Linked DNA regions of Oryctolagus cuniculus. The protein of the gene in region 2 purifies or fractionates together with the protein of the main gene of each other region. This does not show direct contact. Links are inferred from orthologs where the notes say so. Each region holds a gene or a part of one and is shown on either strand. Other genes may lie near its edges.

Region 1 (4,073 bases), on a different chromosome or scaffold from region 2:
CAAATAAATAATCTTTAAAAAAAAAAAAAAAAGACAACAACTCTGCTTAATCATAAAAACAGCAGCAAACTAGTTCATCCTCGTCAAAGACCAGTAACATCCATCTTCTTCCTCTGCAGCCTGGCTGGGCTGAACCGAGGTGTCCGTTAAGGCACCTGGTCTGCTCCCGCCTAGTAGGCCCTGGATACCTAGGGCCTAGGCACAGAGGTTCGGAGCAACTCACCCCGGAGACTCCGTTGATACTTCCCCAGAATCTCCTCCAGGGAAGAGTTCCCTGGGGACTTCGCCATGCACAGACTCTGGGCCAAGAGATGCGAGTTACGTGGGTTATCGTCCAGTGTTCTCCCTTCCAACAACAGCCCTAGCGCCCGCCCGCCTCCTGCCGCAACTGTCACTGGGGAGCCTGGAACCACGGACGCAGCTCGTGGGGTCTCTTCCCACCCTCGAGCCCTCGTGATGGACATTGGGAGTTGTAGTTCTAAGGCTCTGGCTCTACAGCCTCGAGAATCCTAAGAACCTTCCAGCTGCACTACATTTCCCAGAGGGCACTGCGCTCCTGGCGTTGGCTTCGGCGGTTTGGCTACCACAGATCGTTGCCACGAGACCGGCTTGCGGGCTCCTCCCTTTTCCTCTAAGCCAGCCTGGCTAGTCCCGCCTTCACCCTGTCCTGCAGCAGTCCGGACCACCCGGCTGACAGAAAGGACTTTCTGAAGGCCCGGACGCTTCGATCTTTACTAATATGCAATTGATCCTTCAGGCTTCTCTGGGAAGCGAATAATCTCTGAACCCTCCTTCGGTCGCGACATTTGTCAAAACGGTCCAATTCTTAAGAAATAAGAAACTCTAACTCTCCCAAACAGCCTGGCTTGTAAAGGCGGCCAACACTACAACTCCTAGCATGCCAAGCAACCCGACCTCCTCTTGCAGTTGGCGCACTGCCCGCCGGGAATTGTAGTCCTCGTTGGTTGCAGGTCCCCGCTAGAGCCAGAGTTCTCTTCATTGTTCAGGCCGGTCTTTGGGGACACGCCTGCGCAGTGGGCAGCAGGCAAGGCGTGTGAGACCCTCCGCACAACCCCCTTTCATTGTCTGTGTCTGGCGCCTGCGCAGTAAGAGATCGCTGGGACTGGGCTGGAGGAGTGGATAGGGCCCAGCACCTCGCCCTTTCCCCAGGCGCCTGCGCAGTCAGCGACCGCTCTTTGCCGTTACCGCTATGTGTGGGGCGTGTGTGGAATAACGTTATTGCCCTGCGGAACCGAGGGGCCGGGAGCTCGACCGCAGCTGCAGCGACGAAGGCAGCAGCGGCGGAGACGACGACGACGACGACGGGGTGGGGGAGAGGACGGCGTGCGAGAGACTCACGGGACGCGACGCGCCCCGCCTCCCCCGTCCGGTCCCTCTCTCTTCACGGTGAGGGGTAAGTGATGCGCTCCGCTGCCTCGGGGTGGACGCCGCCGCCGCCTCTGCTTTTCCACAGCCTGCTCGGATTTGCGCCGGGGGCTCGGGGCGCGGCCCCTGGCGTGGCGGGGGTGCAGGGAGAGCCTTCCCGGATGCTCCGCGCGGCGTTACCACCCCCATCGCCCAGGACCTGGGGCTCGGCGGGGCCGCTCCTCCCATCCCCCCATCCTTGATGGCCTCCGGTCCTCGCTCCCCACCCTCCGCCGTCGTCTGGGTCCTCCCGGGCCCGTGGCCGCGGTCTCCGCCTCCCCTAAGTGTACTGAATCGCTTGCAGCTCCCTCCCGGCTTTGTGCAACCCTCCCCCATCGTTGGAGCAGTTTGCGAGGGGTGCGGGCGGAGCATCGGAAGGAATGGCTGCGCTGCCGCTGGGGAAGGGATTTTTTTTTTTCCCCAGTGGGAGCAGCTCCCAGGGCCGAGTCTTTTTGTGTGGTTGGATTTTGGGGTATGAGGCAGTCGGGGGAGGTCAGGCGAGGGCCCTTTGCACGCGTTGGGAGGGCGTGGAAGACGCGGTGTCACGCACCCTGCCAGGCGACTGCACCCGGGGTACATCTCTAGCTGGCTGGATTGTGAACCCCGGGGAAGGGAGAGCGACTTCCTGTCGGCTTCATTGTCCTAAGATTCAAATACAGCGTTTTGGGTCCGCTTCCCTTCCATTTTCTGCGAGGGGGAGAAATACTAGCAGTGTCTTAACACCGGGCGGGAAGACGTGGGATTCGTCTCCCCAGTCGCAGCATCTCTGTTTTGTGGCGTTCGGTAGAGTTTTGATTTATTTTGTCGAAGAATGTGGGGGAAGACACGGACCGTGCTTGCCAGAGTGCACGCACTGTCAAGGTGATCAATGTAAAATTACTAGATGACGTTGAAGGCTGGGCGAGAAGGGGCCTGACAGCCGAGCGGGTGTGTAGCAGGGAAATGAACCAGGAGAATTGTTTTTTTTTTCCACTGGGTGGGTAACGCATGCATGGGTCCTAAGGGAATAGATGAAGCTACGTCTTTCCCTTTTATGTTTTAAAGCAATCCAAACAAAAATAAGGATTGGTGTATTTGTTTCTGAAGCTGTTTGCTCATTTTTATTCTCTTCATGAAAATTCAGCCGTTTGGGAGGAATTTGGTGAAGTGGATGATCCATGCGATTGAAAATGCGTCTTTTAAAATGATTTGCTTGTTAGGATTGTAATGCTTGTAACCATTTGCTGGCGTCTCTGTGTAAAATAAGCCCAAGAAAGAATGAAGTAGGCTGGGGGAGAAGATGGAGGAGTAGTGTGAGTTATATTATAAATACAGTTTCTAGATCTTTACTGATACAACCCTAATTGGGTAAACTTCAAAGCCAGGAAGAAATTCAGCTATCAAATTGTTTTGTAGTTTTCTGCCATTATTTTTTTGAAAAGTGAAAACCAGCACTGTTCTTAGTTCTTCCTAACTTCATAGATACTGTAGAATTTTGCTTTTTTTTTTTTTTAAACGGAACAGTCGCTTGAAAAAAACTAAAACTCACTGATTTGTCTGCCCAAGCCAATGTGCTAACAGAAAGCACAGTCAAATAAAACCAAGGTCTGTTCTACAGAGTGATCTTTACTGTGTGCCCTCACCTTCCACCCTGTGAACATTTATGGAAAGCTTCTGTACTTTTTAATTTGTGTGTAACAGTAAACTTAATTCTCTCACTTGTATTAATCTAGTCCTTCTTTTTGTGATGTAGAAGTAGTAATTCTACTGAAACTGAATTTTAGCTTTACAAAGTAACTTACTAATAAGGGAAGATACCCTAACAGTTCTTTTCATGAAAACAAACTGTTGGAATGTTTTCACTTCTACTTATTAGTAACCATATTTTAATATTATTTCTTGAAATTTAATAGTATTTTATAATATTATGTTCAACTGTGAACTGTTAAAAATAATATTTCTCCATACTAAAAAGCTATGAAGCTTATTTTTCTATGATTAATGAATTTTATTGTTTTCAACTTAGAGTTTCCCTTTGAGAAATGTCATCTTTCTGTTTTTAATTGGGTCGACTTTATAAAAAAAAAGGGGGTTTTATTTATGTCAACTCATAATTTCAGTTCTTTAATTCTGCATTGCATTTTAATAGATATTTTCTTTAGAATTTATTTCACTTTAATTTCAATTTAAGAAGCCTCTGTCATTAAGTTCAGTATGGGGAATCATATTGAAACTTTAAATGCATTTTGCTGGTAAATTTCATGGTGTTCCAAAATTATTTTGTATGGAAATAATCTGCATGTTTCCTGTCCTATTTATCTGTAAACATAAGCATACACTGTGTGTGTGTGCGTGTGTGTGTGTATGTATGTATGTATGTATGTATTAAGGTGCTTTTTGAAACTCTGTACTTGGTGATTTGTTTCATTTGTTCTAAGCATCAGTTTCATGTTCCTTTTACCTACCGGAAAAAAGTTTTATTGTTATATTTGATAATAATTAATGTTCATTACCAAATACTGTATGTATTTAAGGTTTTGTGAACATGTTTTTTATTCAACAGAAATCTGTTCCTGAAAAATACTTCATACTATTTTAATCAATATGTAATGATTTTTTCTTCTGTATCTTAAACATCTTGGGGTTAAATAGTGTGCTAGTGTAGTAAA
Region 2 (4,275 bases):
GTTTTGCGGGCGTTTTTCAACTTCAAATAACTCCTATTCATATCTCAAACTCAAACATCCATAGTCTCTGTGCCAGAAACACTTGACGCACCATAAACACACATCCATGCATTCATTTCATCAACACATCCCGCACCACTCCTCCTCCCACACGAGCCCCATAAGCTCTCCAACCTAATACCGCAGACTCCAGAACCCTGGAGTGTCTGCACTGGCGCTCACGGGACACAATGTCTCCAGTGCAAAGCGCTGGTGAGTAGCTCCATCCCCGTATGCTGCTCAGACTCCGCATCCAGACATCTCGAGCTGCCGGCCAGCGCCAGGCTCCGGCGTCGTTAACAGAGCATTCCGAGCCCCTCTGTAAATCACCCACCCCGTCCCCACGGTCCTGAACACCTCACCCCATTCATTCACAAACAGCCCTTGTTCTGCACCGCAGGACAGCAGGACCCCAAGGTTCCGGGCTGCGCAGGCTGGCCCGCGCCCCCACCTTGCCCCGCGCCCTTTTGCTCTCCGTGCTCCCAGGCAGGCACCGCATGCTCCACGGTCACCCAGAACCGCAAGGCACAGACTCTTGCGTGTGTCTGCCTAGACCAGCCCGCCCGCCAGGGGAGGGTGGCACCTCCGGGAGTGCAGGGGGCGCTGGGGCAGGAGCAGAGGAAGCACCACCTCTCGCCCGCGGACCGGAACCGGACGCCAGGCCGGGCCCCGCCGCGCACCCCGCCTGCCGATCGTGGCCCACCCCACCTTTACGCTCCGCATCGCTGTCGGCGTCACTCCCGAACAGATCCTCCATATCCGCCATTGCCGCTCACGTCCGCTGCAGCCTCGGCTGGGGGCGGCCCCACGCCGTTCTTTACGGCACGGAACTAACGAAACGCGACAGTGTCGCAAAGATATGCTTAAAAGACTCCTTTCCCTCTATGACCTAGTTTCCGCGTCCACACGGTTGGGTGGCGCGGTTCCTCCGTCGGGGTCTGTTCTCACGGGGTGGGCGTGCCCGCGGAGCGGGCGGTGCTTTGGGGAAAGACCCCCGGGCCATCCGGAATCAGGCCCAAAGTCCTTTGTTTCCCAGACCTCTTCTCACCCTCTTAAATATTGTGGAGAATTCCAAAGAACTTTTGTTTTAGATGGTTTATACCCATGGCTACTTACCGTATTAGTATTTAAAGCAGACATTTTAAAAGTGCTAAACTCGTTTCAAGATAATAAACGTTAAATAGTGGGTTTGGGGTAAGTTTTAAATGACTTCTTTTCTAAAGTTTTAGACGAGTGGAATGGTTTTAAAGTTTTGAAGAAATCTTTAATATCCAGCATAAAATACACAGCTGAATTATTTCTGCTTCTAAGTCAGTTGCTTAGAAATGTTTTGGTGGTAGCAGATGAAGAAAATCCGAGTTTAGCTAGAGAGGTAGTAATTGGCAAGGGGCGACTTTCTGAGATGCCCCGAAACGGGCTTCGTGGGACCACACTTGATGACTGCAGCTTTAGAAGAGCTTCGCAAGAGCCATAGCTTGTTCCTTTGCAGCTCTGTTTACGTATAACGCTATGGTTTGAACTCACACAGGATTTGAAACCTCATGTCATAGGTGAACGATACTAAAAGGGTGGAAACAAAGCAATCACAGCTTTCAGAAGCGGGACCTTAGAGGTAGTTGGATTGGACTGGACATGAAGGTGAAGCCCCCGCGAATAAGTCCTGGTGGCTGTGTTACACGCCGGTGCACGGAGTCACACGCGCCTTCTTGCCGGTGAAGCTCTGCGCTGCTCCGTCAGTGCCCGGAAGAGCACCAGCACCGGAGTGCGAACCAGTGACGCCTGCCAGATGCTGGATTTGAACCTGCGGAACTGTGAGCATTTTATTACACCTGTACTGTTTTGTGAAATTCGTTTTCTTGGGTATTTTGTCAGTGATGGAAAGCACACCAAAACACATGATATTGAAACAAATATTTCACAGAACACTATTTTCTTTTCCTACTGAGTTTTCCTATTACCCTATTTCAGTTTTGGTTTCTTTCTTTCTTTTTCTTTTTCTTTTTTTTTTTTTTTTAGAATTTATTTATTTGAGAGGTAGAGTTACAGAGAGTGAGAGGAAGAGACAGAGAGAGAGGTCTTCCTTCCCCTGGTTCACTCTCCATGGCCACAACAGCCAGAGCTGCACTGATCTGAAGCCAGGAGCCAGGAGCTTCTTCTGGGTCTCCCATGTGGGTGTAGGGGCCCAAGGACTTGGACCATCCTCCACTGCTTTCCCAGGCCATAGCAGAGAGCTGGATTAGAAGAGGAGCACCCAGGACTAGAACCGGCATCCATATGGGATGCCGGCGCCACAGGCAGAGGATTAACCTACTGCCCCACAGCGCCGGCCCCTCAGCTTTGGTTTCCTAAAAATGTTGGCAGGCAGTACAACCCAGTATGTTGCTTTCATGATTTTCTAACAGATTGTAACCTGCAAGTAGAAAAATGTTTTTCAGAAGGTTCCACTGGATTTTTTGTTTTGCAAAGAAAATTTTGATGTTGCTGCAGTAAGGCATTATAAAGTCAGACAGTAAAAAAATTCTCATGGTCAGTGCTACACAAACCCCCTTACTTTGCAAAGGCTCCAAGAAATAAAGTGGTTTGCACAGATTAAAGAACCAGGTCTCTAGGAAAAACTCATTCATTTTTAGTCTTTAAAATGTATCCCTTGTGTTAAGTTACTGCCTGATTAGGCTACTATGTAGGTTTTGGTCTTGGCAAGCAACAATGAATTTTTAATTTGGGGATTATGAGATATATTTTTGCTGCAAATAGGAGTGCCTGACAGGGTTCAAATGGGTAAGTATTAAGGTGTGGAACAGGTTATATTATCATTAATCCTAAAATTGCTATGTAAAAAGTGATGATGTAAGAGGATACATACAGATCACCTTAAATCTAACTGGAATACTGGAAAAGCAATTTGTTAGTGATTCAGTTTTTGTTGATTTGTTTAAAGTACTCTCCTTGAAAAGTGTGTTGATTAAATTGTGATAAATTGGATTACAACAAAGCCTGCTGAATAATCATGCCCATATCCTTGACTAGCAGAATCAATGTGTTTTTTTCCCATCGGAATAGTGCAAAACAAATAACTTCTGACTGCTTGATAGATTGATTGGTTTTGTTTTTGCTGGACTTTATGTTGATCATTGCTCTTCTCCTGGCTGTCTTTGTTCACACAGAATAGAATACATGAGATGGGGTACAGCTAAGTCCATCACAGTCATTCTCCAGTAGTTCTTGCCTGAAACATAGCTTGAGTTACACCCAAATCAATATAATTGAAGTTCAGGGTACTAAAACAATCACGTTTACTCCCAGAGACAGTCTCATCCTGTTTGGGTTGTTTGATTCAATTTTGAATGATAAAATAAACCCTCCATTTGTTCCAGGAATGGAGAGGTTCATCCGTTTGGTATATAAATAACTAAAACAACCCTAGAGTAACTTTACTTTGTTTCCCTATTTTTGAAAAGTTGTCCCTTTTGTCTCATGTTGTAATTCATGAGGTGAAGGTAGAGCCTCAGAGTACCATGATGACCCCAATAAAAGAACAAAGATTCAACTAGGTTGGTTACATAATACAGTCAGTATATCATTACAAATATTTTTACAAGGTAATAGAAGCCTTTTGGAATGTATAAAAGATAAGCCTACATCAAGTCACAAAACAGGAATATGTGTTTGATTTCTATATCATCTTAAAGACTTAGAGAAAAAACAACAGTTTGATTAAACAAAATGTATTAACTGAAAATTCATTCCATTTATGGTAAATTGCCACTCCACAGAAGGATCGTGTGGCTTTTCTGAAAGTACTTTGTGGCAAGAGTGGCTTTTGGAAGGGAACAGGTTGAGCTAAACTGAAGAGAGGAAGAGAGGAACCCTGCAGTTTCTGTCTAGAGCAGTAAGAAAACACTGTGGCAGCTCATTTCTTGGAAAACACAGGACATTCCCTCACAGTCTGTCTTTATTAGATTCCTTGGTGAATTGGGTCCTTGCAATGGCTGATGAAGGGATATGAAATGGTGGCAAACATAGTTTTTCATATGAAAGATTTGGGGAGAAATGAGATTCTAAAACATCTGAAGAATTTTTCAGTTTTAGAAGGAAATTATAGTTTTATTTATTTATTTATTTTTTGACAGGCAGAGTGGACAGTGAGAGAGAGAGAGACAGAGAGAAAGATCTTCCTTTGCCGTTGGTTCACCCTCCAATGGCCGCTGCGGACGGCGCACTGCACTGATCTGATGG
Region 3 (4,061 bases), on a different chromosome or scaffold from region 2:
GGTTCCGTGTGCAGAGCTGTCACCCCCGGCACACCTGCCCGGCACACCTGCCTGGCGCACGGTCGCCCTTGGGAATATTTCAAGGCTTTGTTAAGGGAACCCTCACGGTTCTTGGAATAACTGTCGCATTCTTTGTTATTCTCAAATTATGTAAATATCTACTTAATATTCTGATGAACAAAGTTGATGAACACGTTAAACTGAGCACACACCGTGCTGCCTGAAAATGAGGAAGCATATGAAAACACGCAACCCTGAACTCATCAAAACGAAGGCGTGAGGAACCAGGAAATCTGTGAGTGATCAATTTAGACTCCTGAAAACATGCAAGTTCACACCCCGCGGCGTGACAGACCAACTCAAAACGCAGGTGTGCGATCTAAAGGCCCCGAACGTGCTAAATAGATCCTAAGATGTTCCAGGAAGCACGAGGCTTCCGGGGGTCAGTCTCTGGGGTCCGGGCGTGGGTTGCGAGGAGCAGACAGAACCTGCGCTCCCCCGCGGGACGAGGCGCCCACGCAGCCGGCTGCACCTGAGCCCCGAGACCCCCTGGAGCAAGCGAGGCAGCGAGCAGAGACCCTCTGGGAGCGGGGCCGGCGCGGGCTGACCAGCCGCGAGGGACAGCCTCCCGGGACCCGCGTGGACACGCGGCCCGGCCTCGGGACCTGCCACGGCCCCGAGCGCTCTGAGCACCTGACGCCGCGCACTGATTTAAAAGTCCTCGTCCCCTGGGGGCACCGGGCCGAGTAGGGCGGTCCGAGGCCCTTCCGAAACTCCTGGAAATCCTTCCCCGAGCAAACACCCGCGGGCCACTCACCTGGGCAACCTGGTTTAGACAGCCCAGGTTCCCGCCTCCGAGCCGCCCAGCCCTCGGCCCCGCCCCCCGAGCCAGGCCCGCCCCTGGCCCCGCCCCGCCGCGGCCCCGCCCCCGCCTCAGGCCCCGGCCCCGAGCGCCCCTCATTGGCCCAGCGCTCGCCGTGGAGAAAGTGGCCGGAAGCCAGGCCCGCCCACCGGCCCCGCCCCCGAGCCCGCCCAGCCAGCGGCCCCGCCTCCGTCCAGGCCTCGCCCCCGAGCGCCCCTCATTGGCCCAGCGCTCGCCGTGGAGAGTGGCCGGAAGCCGGCGCGGCTCCGGTCCCCGAGCCAGGCCCGCCCACCGGCCCCGCCCCCGCCCCGCCGCGGCCCCGCCCCCGCCGCGGCCCCGCCCCCGAGCCCGCCCCGCCCGCAGCCCCGCCCCCGTCCAGGCCCCGCCCCCGCGCGCCCCTCATTGGCCCAGCGCTCGCCGTGGAGAGTGGCCGGAAGCCGGCGCGGCTCCGGTCCCCGAGGTAAGCCTCGCGGCCAGGGCCAAGGTCGTCCGCCGGGCCTGGGGCGCCGCCCTCTGTGTCCTGGGCGGCCGCGGCACTTCGCCCTGGTGGCTCGCGGCGGGAGGGTGCAGAGCGGCCGCCGCCTGGACGCGCGGGCGCTGGGCGGCGGGAGGCGCGGCCGGCCTGGGCTCCGTGCCGCGGCCGCAGAGCGACCCCGAGCCGGGCGACGTGGGGTCCGGCGACTGGGTCCTGCTGCGTGGCTGTTTGCGACCCAAGCCCGTGCTCTATTTTTAAAAACCCGTTTCGCCCGTGTGCCCGTGCACACGCCAGCTTTGGGAGCGTTTACGAGTGACCGTATCCTCCACTTGGAGTCGCCCGGGGCCAGACTCCTGACGGAGGCAGTTTCGTCCTTTTCCGGAAAAAACAAAACAACCCCTCCCCCTCAGAACCGCTAAGGCTTATTATGGGCTGGCGTTACCGAACCCAGTATCCCAGGGTTCGGACGGGGCTCACGGTGCCGCCTGCAGGTTGGAGGTGGCAGCGTGGCTGGGCCTGAGCCCGCCGGGTGCACCGGCCGTGATGGCCGCATCTGCTCGCGGGTCCGCGGGGTCCGGTGTTGGCGCCCCCGCCCCGCCTGCTGCCTTTGCGGTGCCTGCTCCGCGCCCCCGCCCACTGCGGGGAAGACCCTGGCCTCGCGTCCTGAACGCCGGGCTTTCTGTCTTGATTTCTTGTGTCTCTCACCCATGTCCTGCCTCCTCCCACTGCATGTATGCTTTAAAAAAAAAAAAAGAGATTTATTTATTTGTTTGAAAGGCAGTTACAGAGAGGCAGAGGCACAGTGAGACAGAGAGGTCTTCCATCCACTGGTTCACTCCCCAAATGGCCGCCAAGGGCCTGGGCCGAGCTGACCTGAAACCAGGAGCCAGGAGCTTTTTCCAAGTCTCCCACATGGGTGCAGGGGCCCAAAGACCTGGGCCATCTTCTGCTGCTTTCCCAGGCCCTAGCAGAGAGCTGGATCGGGAGTGCAACAGCCGGGACTCGAACCAGCGCCCACATGGGATGCCGGCACTGTGGGTGGCGGCTTTAACCTGCTACGCCACAGCCCAGCCTGTGTGCTTTTAAAGTTTATTCATTCTCTCTCTCTCTAACTTTGCTTTTCTGACTTTCCTTCTCTCTGTGTAACTTTGCTTTTCAAATAAAATAAATGTTTTTAAAAGTTTATTTTTAATTATTTGAAAGGCACACAGAGAAAGGTCTGTGTTCCAGCCACTGGTTTGTTGTACCTGAAACGTCCAGTTCCGACCAGTTAAGTCTGCCAGGAGCTGAGCTAATGCCTGGAGCAGCCAGAGCCTGGCCAGGTCAAAGTCTGGAGCCAGGAGCTGGGTCCCCCACTTGAGGGGCAGGAACCCAAGTCCTTGAGCCATCCTCTGGGGAAGCTGGGTTGGAAACAGAGGCTTGACTTGAACCTGGCACTGTGTGCTGCGGGATGTGGGAGTCCCAGGTGGCAGCTTGACCCGCCGTGCCATGAGGCCTGCACCTGCGTGTGTGTGGAGAGACGTTTGCCAGCGCAAACACTGTTGATCGGCCAGGGCAAAGGCCGTTTCAGAACCTGGCTGTGCACTTCGGCCTCCTGCCGCCTCTGCCTCGTATGCTCTCTGCTGACTTCCCTCCCAGGGCCAAGCTCACGTGGCCTTCCTAGGAGCCAGCGCACCCGCCTGCAGGCCTCTCCTGGCCTTACAGCTGCACCGAGCCCCGCGGCGATGCGAGCCAGCGAGAAGGACTTGGAAAAGGCGGTGAGCCAGCTGCAGCTCCTGAAGGAGGACCCGGGGAACGCAGTGAAGCTGCGACTCTACGCCCTGTACAAGCAGGTGAGCGCCCGAGGGCTCCGCCTCTACGCACTGTGTAAGCAGTGAGCGCCGAGAGCGCTGGAGCCCATGACTCCTGAAGGAGACCAGCTGTGTGTGCTAACCTGCAGCTGCGTTTGAATCGCGGCCTCTCCTCCTCAGAGCGTGTGTGTGTGTGTCTGTGTGTGGGGGGGGGGGGGGGGTTTGGGGTCCAGGAGGCCTTGAACCAGTTAAGGAACACAGTAACCCCTCAGGACCACTGCCAAGTAAAAGAGACTTAGATGAGATGACACTGGAATGTGTAGACCTTATTTGGCTCCTGATTAGAACAAACCAACTGAAAAGCAGATTTTGAGACAATTGGGGACATTTGGATAAGGACTAAGTGTTAGGAGATACCCAGGAATGGTGTCACCATTATATAAAAAAAAGTTGGGGAGGGGGGCAGTGCTGTGGCGTGGCAGGTAAAGCTGCCACCTGCAGTGCCAGCATCCCAGACAGGCACCGGTTCAAGTCCCAGCTGCTCCACTTCTGATCCAGCTCTCTGCTATGGCCTGGGAAAGCAGTAGAAGATGGCCCAAGTCCTCGGGCCCCTGCATCCGCATGGGGGACCCGGAAAACACTCCTGGCTCCTGGTTTTGGAATGGCCCAGCTCTGGCTATTGCTGCCACCTAGGGAGTGAACCAGTGGATGGAAGACCGCTCTCTGCCTCTGCCTCTCCATAATTCTGCCTTTCAAATAAATAAATAAATCTTTTTTTAAAAAGTTGGTATTTTTTAGAAATTTATAGTAAATATGTAGGGGTGAAATGGTGAGATGTTTGAGATTCACTAAGCAAAAAAGAAGAAAAAAAAGGATAGATGAAGCAAGCAAGGCAAAATGTGACACTTGTTGAATTGGGATAAGGGGTTGGGAA
Region 4 (4,186 bases), on a different chromosome or scaffold from region 2:
TATTGTACATGTGATTTTTTTTTCCTGTTCATACATTTGTGCTGCCCATGTACTCTTGGCACATTTCAATAAAAATTGTTTGGAAAATAAAGACCAAACTTGCTGGGGTGTCAGGACATGGTGCCTCCCTCCCTCCCACTCAGTCTTCTGCAGAGGTGCAGGCAGGCCAGGGTGCAGACTCAGGATTGACGCTGGAGTGGAGCCGTTTGGCGAGAAGTCTGGCAGGCCCGGTGGCGTTGTTAGTGGGCCCTGCCCAAGCCAGGGCCTAGCTCCAGAGTGGCGTGAGGGAAATGGCAGGCTGGGTGTACAGCACGTGGTTGTCACCACTTGAGATGCCTGCGTGGAGTTCTGGCCACTCCACTTTGCATCCAGCTTCCTGCAAATGTACACCCTGGGAGGCAGCAGATGGTGGCCCGAGTGCTTGGCCCTTGCCACCCATGGGGGAGACCAAGGTTGATTCCTGGGCCTCTAGAAAATGAACCAGTGGATAGGAAGGAGGTCTGTATCCATCTTTGAAATAAAATGAAAATAAAAAGTGAATGGTGTTAAAAATTTAAAACTTCCAGAGAGACCCCATAATGGGCCTTAATTCTAAAAAGTGAACACCTGCTATTTAGTAAGTTTGAGGTTAGCAGTTTTTTGTGAATTTTTCCCTGAAAAGAATGTTCTTGGCATTGTATGGTGTCCTGTCTTCCACGTTCTGAGCTGGCTTCCTTACCCTTGCCACTGTCATTTACTTAACCCCGTCGTAAAGGTGTTCCGAGGTGTGTGGCTACCGCAGCAGCACTGCAGTGTGTCTACGAGCAGCCTGCTACCCTGATGCTACTCTGGACGCAAACTCCTGCTGGTGGCGTGGGCTGAAGGCTGGGGCAGCAGTGGCAACGGGACGTTGTGTCATCCCCCTCCCTCCCGCTTGAAGATGGGAACCTGTAAAGATGGCTGGCTCGTGGGGGGTGCGGTGCAGTCTGACATGAACTTGGCTTAAGGACTTTGACCTACACAGAGATGTGGCCTGCAGAGGAGGGGGTCACAGCTTCACCTTGGGGTTCACTACATGTACTTGAACACTTGTTTTGTGAGCTTCCTGTAAGGACGTTTTGAAACTTAACACTTGGCATCTGAAGCCAGATGGCTTCTGTCGGAGAGCGGCTTCGCCAGGGGAGTTTGAAACCTCTGGATGAGGAGAGACTACAGTCACCTTGCTGCCATAAACTTGGAAACCCACTAGCGTTGGCTTTTACTTCTTATGTGAGGTTTATTTTTTTTAAAGATTTATTTATGTATTTGATAGTAAGAGTTAACAGGAGAGGCAGAGAGAGAGGTTTTCCATCCACTGGTTTACTCCCCAATTGGCCACAATGGCTGGAGCTGTGCTGATCTGAAGCCGGGAGCCAGGAGCTTCTTGTGGATCTCCCACGTGGGCCCAGGGGCCCAAGGACTTGGGCCATCTTCTGCTTTCCCAGGCCATAGCAGCTGGATCGGAAGCAGCCAGGACTGGTGCCCATATGGGATGCTGGCGCTGCAGGCTGTGGCTTTACCTGCTGTGCCACAGTGCCAGCCCCTTTATGTAATGCTTTGATAAAGACACATTGTCTGATGATCAAGTCAGCTTAATTGGTATATATATATTACCATAATTTTGTGATGAAAACGTTCCAGAACCACCTTAGCTGTTTGGAAATAGACAATATGCTGTTAACCTTGCTGTGCAAAAGAATAGGTTTTTTGTTTAACAGGAAGGGAGAGACTTTGTTGGTTCACTCCCCAAATGGCTGCAGTGGCCAGGGCTGGGCCAGCCAGGAGTTTCATCGGGGTCTGTCACACAGGTGGAGTGCAAGCACTTGGGCCAGCCTCCGCTGCTCTCTGCACACTAGTAGGGAGCTGGATCTGAAGTGGAGCAGCCGGGACTCAACCAGTAACTATGGGATGCAGGTGCTGCAGGAGGCCCCCTAACCTGCTCTGCCCCAGGATCAGTGTTTTCCCAGTATGCCCTGGGGCGCAGTTTCATCTCCTGTTAGCACTCCTTGCAGGGACAACATCCCATGTGTGTGCAACCTAACCTTTTACAGCGAAGCATCCTACCAAATGTCCTAAAGTTGTATCCTGTCACATCTTGGAAGTCTGGGTAGGAGGTCCAGTGTGCTCCAGTGGCCCTGCGGACTGTCCCCCACGGCAGAGCCTGCCTATCCGGGCTAAAATCAGGAGACATGCGCGTTAAGCAGCGTCCCCTCCACCCACTGGCCCGCAGCCCCTGGCATTTCCGGGCGTTTTCCGAGGGCTCTTTCTGCGCCCGCGTCCTTGAGCTAGACGCCCGCTGCCTAGATCCCGCAGCCCGCCTGTGATCCCGTGCCTTTACCGCATGATCTCTTCACCAGTTAACATGAAGTGACTGCGGCCATTGCGTCCTTGGACACAGGACCGGGCTGTGATAAACTTTACCCCGCAGTCATAACAGTTGTTTCCTCGGGCACGGTTCCCACTGGGACAAAGTTTTAACGCTTAAGCCTCAGCATGCCGGCCGGCTTGCGGCGCTGTTGCTGGTTGCCCTTAGTAAAGATGGCGGAAGGGGCGCTTTAGGGCTGTTCCACTGCGGCTTCCGTGCCCTCACCTGACATGGCGGCCTCTTGGGCCCGCCCCTTGGCTTCCTCCCGCCGGGTTCCACGACTCGGTCCCGATGGCGACGGCGATGGCGGCCACTCGCGGTCTCCGCGACCTGCTGATGCGGCGTGAGTCACTTCCTGACCTGTGGGGATCTGTTGTGCTGTCCAAGCGGCTGTAGGACCACTCGGGGTCACGGAGGGTCCTCGCGCCCCCGCCTAAAGGGTTACTCATTACAGTCTGGGGGCACTGATGACTCCATGTCCCCATGGGTCTGGAACCACTGAGCAGTGCACCCTGATGTTAAACCCAAGTCTCTGAGGGGCCGTGTTCCCCGCCTGTGGGGCCCTGGTGCGCCCTCTGCTCTCAGAAGCGCTGTGTGCCCCCTCGGGGGTCCTCAGAGGCCCTTCCTTCCTCTGTCTCCCTAGGACTGGCAGCTCCCAGCTGCCCGGGCTTCAGCCTTGGCCTCCGCCCGCTGGGCACCTCCGCCCACGGCGAGGCCCCCAGAGCAGCCCCCTGCGAAGCCCCGGGCCACAGCTACGAGTCCCTCCTGGTGACGGCCGCCCAGAAGCATGTCCTGCATGTGCAGCTGCACCGGCCCGACAGGAGGAATGCCATGAACAAGGCTTTCTGGAGGTCTGGCGGCCCTCGGGGTGGCCGGGGTGGGGGACAGACGGATGGCCGTGAGCCGGTGCGGCCCCTCATCCCTGGCTCCTCCGCAGCGAGATGGTGGAGTGCTTCAACAAAATAGCGCAAGACTCCGAGTGCCGGGCCGTGGTGATCTCCGGGGCGGGGAAGATGTTCTCGTCAGGTACCTGCGGCGCCGCGCACCCCGCCTCCCCGCGCCTGGCCACAGAGCCGCGCTTCCAACTAGCGCCTCGATCCTTTCTTTCTTGAAGTCCTCACTTAAGGCATTCAGCTCTGGAAAGTAGCCTTGACCTCTGAGAGCCTGTAGCCAGGAGCAGAAGCGCGTGGGCTCCCAGCCCTGGCCCTGCGTCTTTGACCTCTGAGAGCCTGTAGCCAGGAGCAGAAGTGCGTGGGCTCCCAGCCCTGGCCCTGTGTCCTTGACCTCTGAGAGCCTGTAGCCAGGAGCAGAAGCGCGTGGGCTCCCAGCCCTGGCCCTGTGTCCTTGACCTCTGAGAGCCTGTAGCCAGGAGCAGAAGCGCGTGGGCTCCCAGCCCTGGCCCTGTGTCCTTGACCTCTGAGAGCCTGTAGCCGAGTTGGCCTGGCGCTCCCACACCCTCGCCTGCTGGGCTCGCCTGCATTCTTCGCATTTCAGCTGTCCGTTCTGATTTCCATGGGGTTTATTTTAAAAATTTTCTATTTCTGTGCTGAAGTTTCCTTTCTGTTTGTCATGAGCTTTTTTTTTTTAATTTTTCTTTTTGTTTAAGATTTATTTTATTTATAGAAGAGGAGGAGAGAGTAAGGTCTTCCTTTTGCTGTGTTCGCTCCCCAAAATGGCCCCAACCACTGGGGTTAGGCCAGGCCAAAGCCAGGAGCCAGGAGCTTCCTCTGGGTCTCCCACATGGGTGCAGGGGCCCAAGCACTTGGGCCATCTTCCACTGCTTTCCTCCATGCATTAGCAGGA
Region 5 (4,300 bases), about 60 Mb from region 2:
GAACTTTTTGAAGTATTCTCATCTTTTTATAGTGATTGTAAGTCTTATTTATGGGCATTTCCTGAGATTATTTACATATACTCAGACAACTCCTCACCTTCATCTGGATTTAAAGCCCTGTGTTCATAGCTATGGAAGTACAGGCTCAAGCATTGATGTGTCAGCACTTCTCTATGGGTTCTCAGATACCTTGATGTTTTTTATTTGGCTCTGGGTCCATGCTGGTAACTGCCTTCTGTGCTTGTCTGTTGTTAGTTTGAACGCATTAATTATGAAAGATCATTCCCTTCTAATTTTCTCATCTTCCCTTAGTTGCTCCTCAGATAGTGCCTGAATAATGCAGTTCAGTAGGGGAATTACAAGAGGAAAAACTAATAGTTTGAAAGGATCTCTTGATACAAGGCTATATCACATGTATGCTGTGCTTGCCAAAACCTGTAGTATAATTAAGGAGATCTGCAAAATTTGGACCATGACAATTAGGAAAATTTAGCTGAGGCCACCTTAAAAGGGGGTAAAAGATAACTTGGTTGAAAGGAGGATATAATTTCATAGTTTTATCATAATCTTTCATGAAATTGAATCTAATGAGTTTGACTGGAAAGACTAGGACGTATTTTCATGCAGTAACCAAGGAGTTTTGGCTAATGTGTGGTGAATCTACGTAAATATGGAATAAGTAACACTTTGGTTTGTATATGTGCGTGTGTATGTATATAACTATTTCTTTAAACATTTTCATTTTTGGTGATTTGTTTTCTTCATCTGTTTAAGAACCCTATCACTAAAATGTGTCATATTGAACCTGTTGCCATAATTTTGAGGTCTCAATCCATGTCCTAATTTTTTTGCTCTTACATTAAGTAGCGAAACTAAACCAAAATAAAAATTCAGCCTCCAAAATCCAAACTTCTTTATTCAGTAAATTTGCATTTTATTACTAGTTTCAGCACTAATTCTAAAATCTTGGGCAAGTCAGTTAATCACTCTGAGGCTGCTTGATTTTTTAAAGTTCTTATGTATGAAATAGCTTTATTAGTTAGTCAAGTTGTCTTGAGATTCAAGGTAATTACCAAGCAGAGTGCTTTGTAAACTCATAACATTACACAGAAGTAGAAGGTATTATCACAGATTGAGTTTCCTTTGTCTGAAATAATTGAGACCAGAAATGCTTTATTTCTGAGTTGTTCGGATTTTGAATACTTGTATAGACTTTATTGGTTGAAAAATTCTATAATTTGAAAATCCAAAATGCTCCCAATAAGCCCTCAGATTATTTAGGAGCATTTTGGATTTTCAGGTTAGGGATGTTCAACCTATACCATGTTTTCTCAATGAAAATATCATTTAAGAAAACAAAATGCTGAAGAATAGTTCTTTGTAGTAATTATTCTTCTGATGAATTTTGCATTGACACCTAATTTAAAGTTTCAAATTATTATTTGAACAATGAATTGGATTTATATATTAAAGTGTTCTAACTAAAGATTTGTTTAATTTATTAGAGTTATTAAGCCTACGCTCAGATCAAGTTAGCAGCTAGACTGGTGTGCCAACCTGTTTTTAATCAGTGACTCAAAGCTGTGATCACCCTGATGTCACCGAATGGCCACAGCTTGTAAAAGGTAATTTTGAATGTTATGTTAGAGCCTTTAAAAGGCTGCCATTGTAAAGTGAAATACATGCTGTAAAAATGGAGAAAATGTGTAGTTGGCAGAAACACTGCCAAGAATAGTGGACCTAAGAGTTGATTTATTTCTTCATTTAGTCTCATTCTGAAATATTTATTTTTTTCCCCTCATTCAGAATATCAGTAGCCACCACTGAAGACTTATCTGTGTGGATAAACAGGAAAGCATTTCTCAAAAAATTTCAAGTTGTAACATATAAACATTTTATTATATACATTGTAAAGGAGATTTGTAATATTTCTTAATAAACATTTTAAAGTGTGTCTTTTACGTGGTGGGTGTTTTAATTAAGATACGTTTCTAGAAATTTTTATAACTTTAATAAAACTAGTATACTTTTCTCTCCTAGAGAGTTACAGTGGAGGTAAAAGGAGTGGCTTGCAGGATGGAGAAGCTGCACCCAGTATTATTGGAAGTGAGCCACCGTTTGAATTTGCTAGCTAATGCTGCAGTATTCAGATTAGTGGGTGTTTTGTGATCATACTTTTTGCTATTCAAATCAAGACTTAAAATTGAGACTTTTCTAAGCTGTATTTTCTATTTTTTTAATACTACTTAGTTATGGCTTCGTTTTTAAAATTTTCTTTCTGCTTTGTTACTCTGCTGGTTTAAGATAACAATGGCTTTTTTTTTTTTAATTTAGTAAAATTATGAGCACATAGTGGATTGTAACTCCCAACATCTTAGCAGTAAAGAATAAATAAGCTCTGAAGGAGCCAGAGTAGAGTGTGGGAACTGTTGTATAAGGGGGCCTTAAAAAAATTCATGTCCTGAAAAAAACATGTAAAAATTTAAAAGTTTTTCTGTATCAAAATTGTAATTCCATTTTTCCACAAAGTTTTTGAAGTGCCTTTGTGTGTTTCATAGTTTGAAGAGTTTGTATCCTAACTTTAGGATAATTTTTGGTAACTTTAAAATATTATTGAAATGTTTAAGCAAGATGACTAGAAATTTATTGAGAAATGGATCATTAATACTGCAAGAAGAGTGTTTATTCTCTGTATATTCATTTTTCTCTCGATTTAAAAAACATTTCCTATTTGAATAGAAAGTAATATGCTATATATGAGACCCAGAATAGATTTATTTTAAGGAAAATTTTTCAATTTTTTCTTATTGTTTTGTTCTTTTTCTAGACTGGATTGGTTTAAATTATTTGGTTTGACTCATAGACGGTTTTTAGTAACTCACTTTAACATACATAGATATTAAGTAATTATCTAGTATAACAATAGTGACATTTTGATACAAGTGATCACATACTGTTTAGGGGAAAGAAATTGGGAAAAATTGATGTTGAACTTTATCTCTGTCCTGTTTCAGAATCTCAAGACTTTGCAGCCATTATATGTTTTACTTTAAGGTTTGAGCTTGTTTTCCTTTTTGGCTGTGTCTTTCCTTTTTTTGCAGTACTATTTTAATTTTCCTATCATTAAGTCCCATTTTTCCCCTCACCTTGCCCTGATAATTTTTAGAGTTTGATACCTACATGTTTGAAAGCTTCTAATCTGCCCGTCTTCCCTCAGTGCCAGCACGAATTTAGTTTTTGTTTTGCAAGCCAGCTCTGTCTCTTTATAGTATGATATCTGATGCTAGGGGGTCACACTTGGCAAAAATGAATCAGCTGGTACATGGGCATATCATCAGTTTTTAGCTCTTCTGTCTAAAAGATACTAGTTTGGAAGCAATCTTGGGGTACTTACCCCACAAGGCTGGTAGAGACCAGGTGTGTCACAGAGGTGATTTGCTTGATCCCTGGGGAGAGGGTAGAGTGAAATTTTTACATTGTGTAACTTCAAAGTCACTACCACCTCCAGCATGCTCCGGTTTTTAGTTCTTAAACAATTTTCTATAAAATTTAAATATACTGGAAAGATCTAAAATAAATATTTGAGCTGCTGGAGTATTGCGTCCTTCGAATATGAATAGACTACAGTGAGTGTAACTTTGAAACCCTAATAAAAATTTTTTTTTGAAGCCCATAAATTTGGGGAACATTTTCTTCTAATGACTCTGATTTTAAAATTCTTTTAAGTTTTTTTTTTTTAAGTTGGATATCTGAAGTCTGATAAATTCACAAATCAAGTCCTTATAGTACCAATTTGATATACAGGTTTTGACTTCAAAGAAAATTTTTTTAACCTTTATTACGAATTTGAAACATTAGAAATTGGTATTATGTTGCTGTACATTTTTTTTTTAAATAAATTTGTGTATTTTTTATTTGTAAGAGTAACAGTTTGAGAGAAAGAGAGATCTTCTGTCTGCTGATTTGCTCCCACAGTGGCTGCAATGGCCAAGGCTGGGCCTAGCTGAAGCCAGGAGCCTCATTGAGGTCTCCCACATGGCTGGTAGAGTCTCAGACACTTGGACCATCATCTGCTGCTTTTTCCAGGCCGTTAACTGGGAGCTTGATTGGAAGTAGAGCAGCTGGGACACAAACTGGAACCCATATGAGCTGCCAGCTTTGCAGGTGGTGGCTTTATCCACTACAACACAACACCAGCCGCTGTTGGATTACTTTACAGCAGTGGTTGACTAATGCTGTTTATAAAAATGAATAAGGTAACAGGCTTTTTTTTTTTTTTTATACTGTAATAGTCATGGAA

Evidence for each region. The genes of interacting proteins can lie anywhere in the genome.
Region 1: the proteins of MAPK6 (region 2) and CEP170 purify together in Homo sapiens (affinity purification with mass spectrometry; 3 studies listed by BioGRID and IntAct, with this or other methods). This does not show direct contact. The link is inferred for Oryctolagus cuniculus from reciprocal best matches to the Homo sapiens genes MAPK6 and CEP170.
Region 3: the proteins of MAPK6 (region 2) and ECI2 purify together in Homo sapiens (affinity purification with mass spectrometry; 3 studies listed by BioGRID and IntAct, with this or other methods). This does not show direct contact. The link is inferred for Oryctolagus cuniculus from reciprocal best matches to the Homo sapiens genes MAPK6 and ECI2.
Region 4: the proteins of MAPK6 (region 2) and ECH1 purify together in Homo sapiens (affinity purification with mass spectrometry; 3 studies listed by BioGRID and IntAct, with this or other methods). This does not show direct contact. The link is inferred for Oryctolagus cuniculus from reciprocal best matches to the Homo sapiens genes MAPK6 and ECH1.
Region 5: the proteins of MAPK6 (region 2) and UBE3A purify together in Homo sapiens (affinity purification with mass spectrometry; 3 studies listed by BioGRID and IntAct, with this or other methods). This does not show direct contact. The link is inferred for Oryctolagus cuniculus from reciprocal best matches to the Homo sapiens genes MAPK6 and UBE3A.

What each region holds. Positions count from the first base shown.
Region 1 is NC_091444.1:63,281,728-63,285,800, reverse strand, and holds the start of CEP170 (centrosomal protein of 170 kDa), read left to right. Parts: upstream 1-1,273; 5' UTR 1,274-1,414; intron 1,415-1,962; exon of another isoform or gene 1,963-2,286; intron 2,287-4,073. Other genes in the region: SDCCAG8 (serologically defined colon cancer antigen 8), read right to left, coding at 224-464.
Region 2 is NC_091443.1:74,672,804-74,677,078, forward strand, and holds the start of MAPK6 (mitogen-activated protein kinase 6), read left to right. Parts: upstream 1-1,475; 5' UTR 1,476-1,850; intron 1,851-4,275. Other genes in the region: RNA polymerase-associated protein LEO1, read right to left, coding at 748-805. UniProt on the Homo sapiens protein: Atypical MAPK protein. Phosphorylates microtubule-associated protein 2 (MAP2) and MAPKAPK5.
Region 3 is NC_091436.1:166,179,968-166,184,028, forward strand, and holds the start of ECI2 (enoyl-CoA delta isomerase 2), read left to right. Parts: upstream 1-1,261; 5' UTR 1,262-1,322; intron 1,323-2,518; exon of another isoform or gene 2,519-2,975; 5' UTR 2,976-3,061; coding exon 3,062-3,169; intron 3,170-4,061. UniProt on the Homo sapiens protein: Able to isomerize both 3-cis and 3-trans double bonds into the 2-trans form in a range of enoyl-CoA species. Has a preference for 3-trans substrates.
Region 4 is NC_091449.1:15,908,542-15,912,727, forward strand, and holds the start of ECH1 (delta(3,5)-Delta(2,4)-dienoyl-CoA isomerase, mitochondrial), read left to right. Parts: upstream 1-1,386; 5' UTR 1,387-2,674; coding exon 2,675-2,726; intron 2,727-3,026; coding exon 3,027-3,234; intron 3,235-3,320; coding exon 3,321-3,409; intron 3,410-4,186. UniProt on the Homo sapiens protein: Isomerization of 3-trans,5-cis-dienoyl-CoA to 2-trans,4-trans-dienoyl-CoA.
Region 5 is NC_091443.1:14,372,259-14,376,558, reverse strand, and holds the start of UBE3A (ubiquitin-protein ligase E3A), read left to right. Parts: upstream 1-1,500; 5' UTR 1,501-1,605; coding exon 1,606-1,625; exon of another isoform or gene 1,626-3,446; intron 3,447-4,117; exon of another isoform or gene 4,118-4,256; intron 4,257-4,300. UniProt on the Homo sapiens protein: E3 ubiquitin-protein ligase which accepts ubiquitin from an E2 ubiquitin-conjugating enzyme in the form of a thioester and transfers it to its substrates.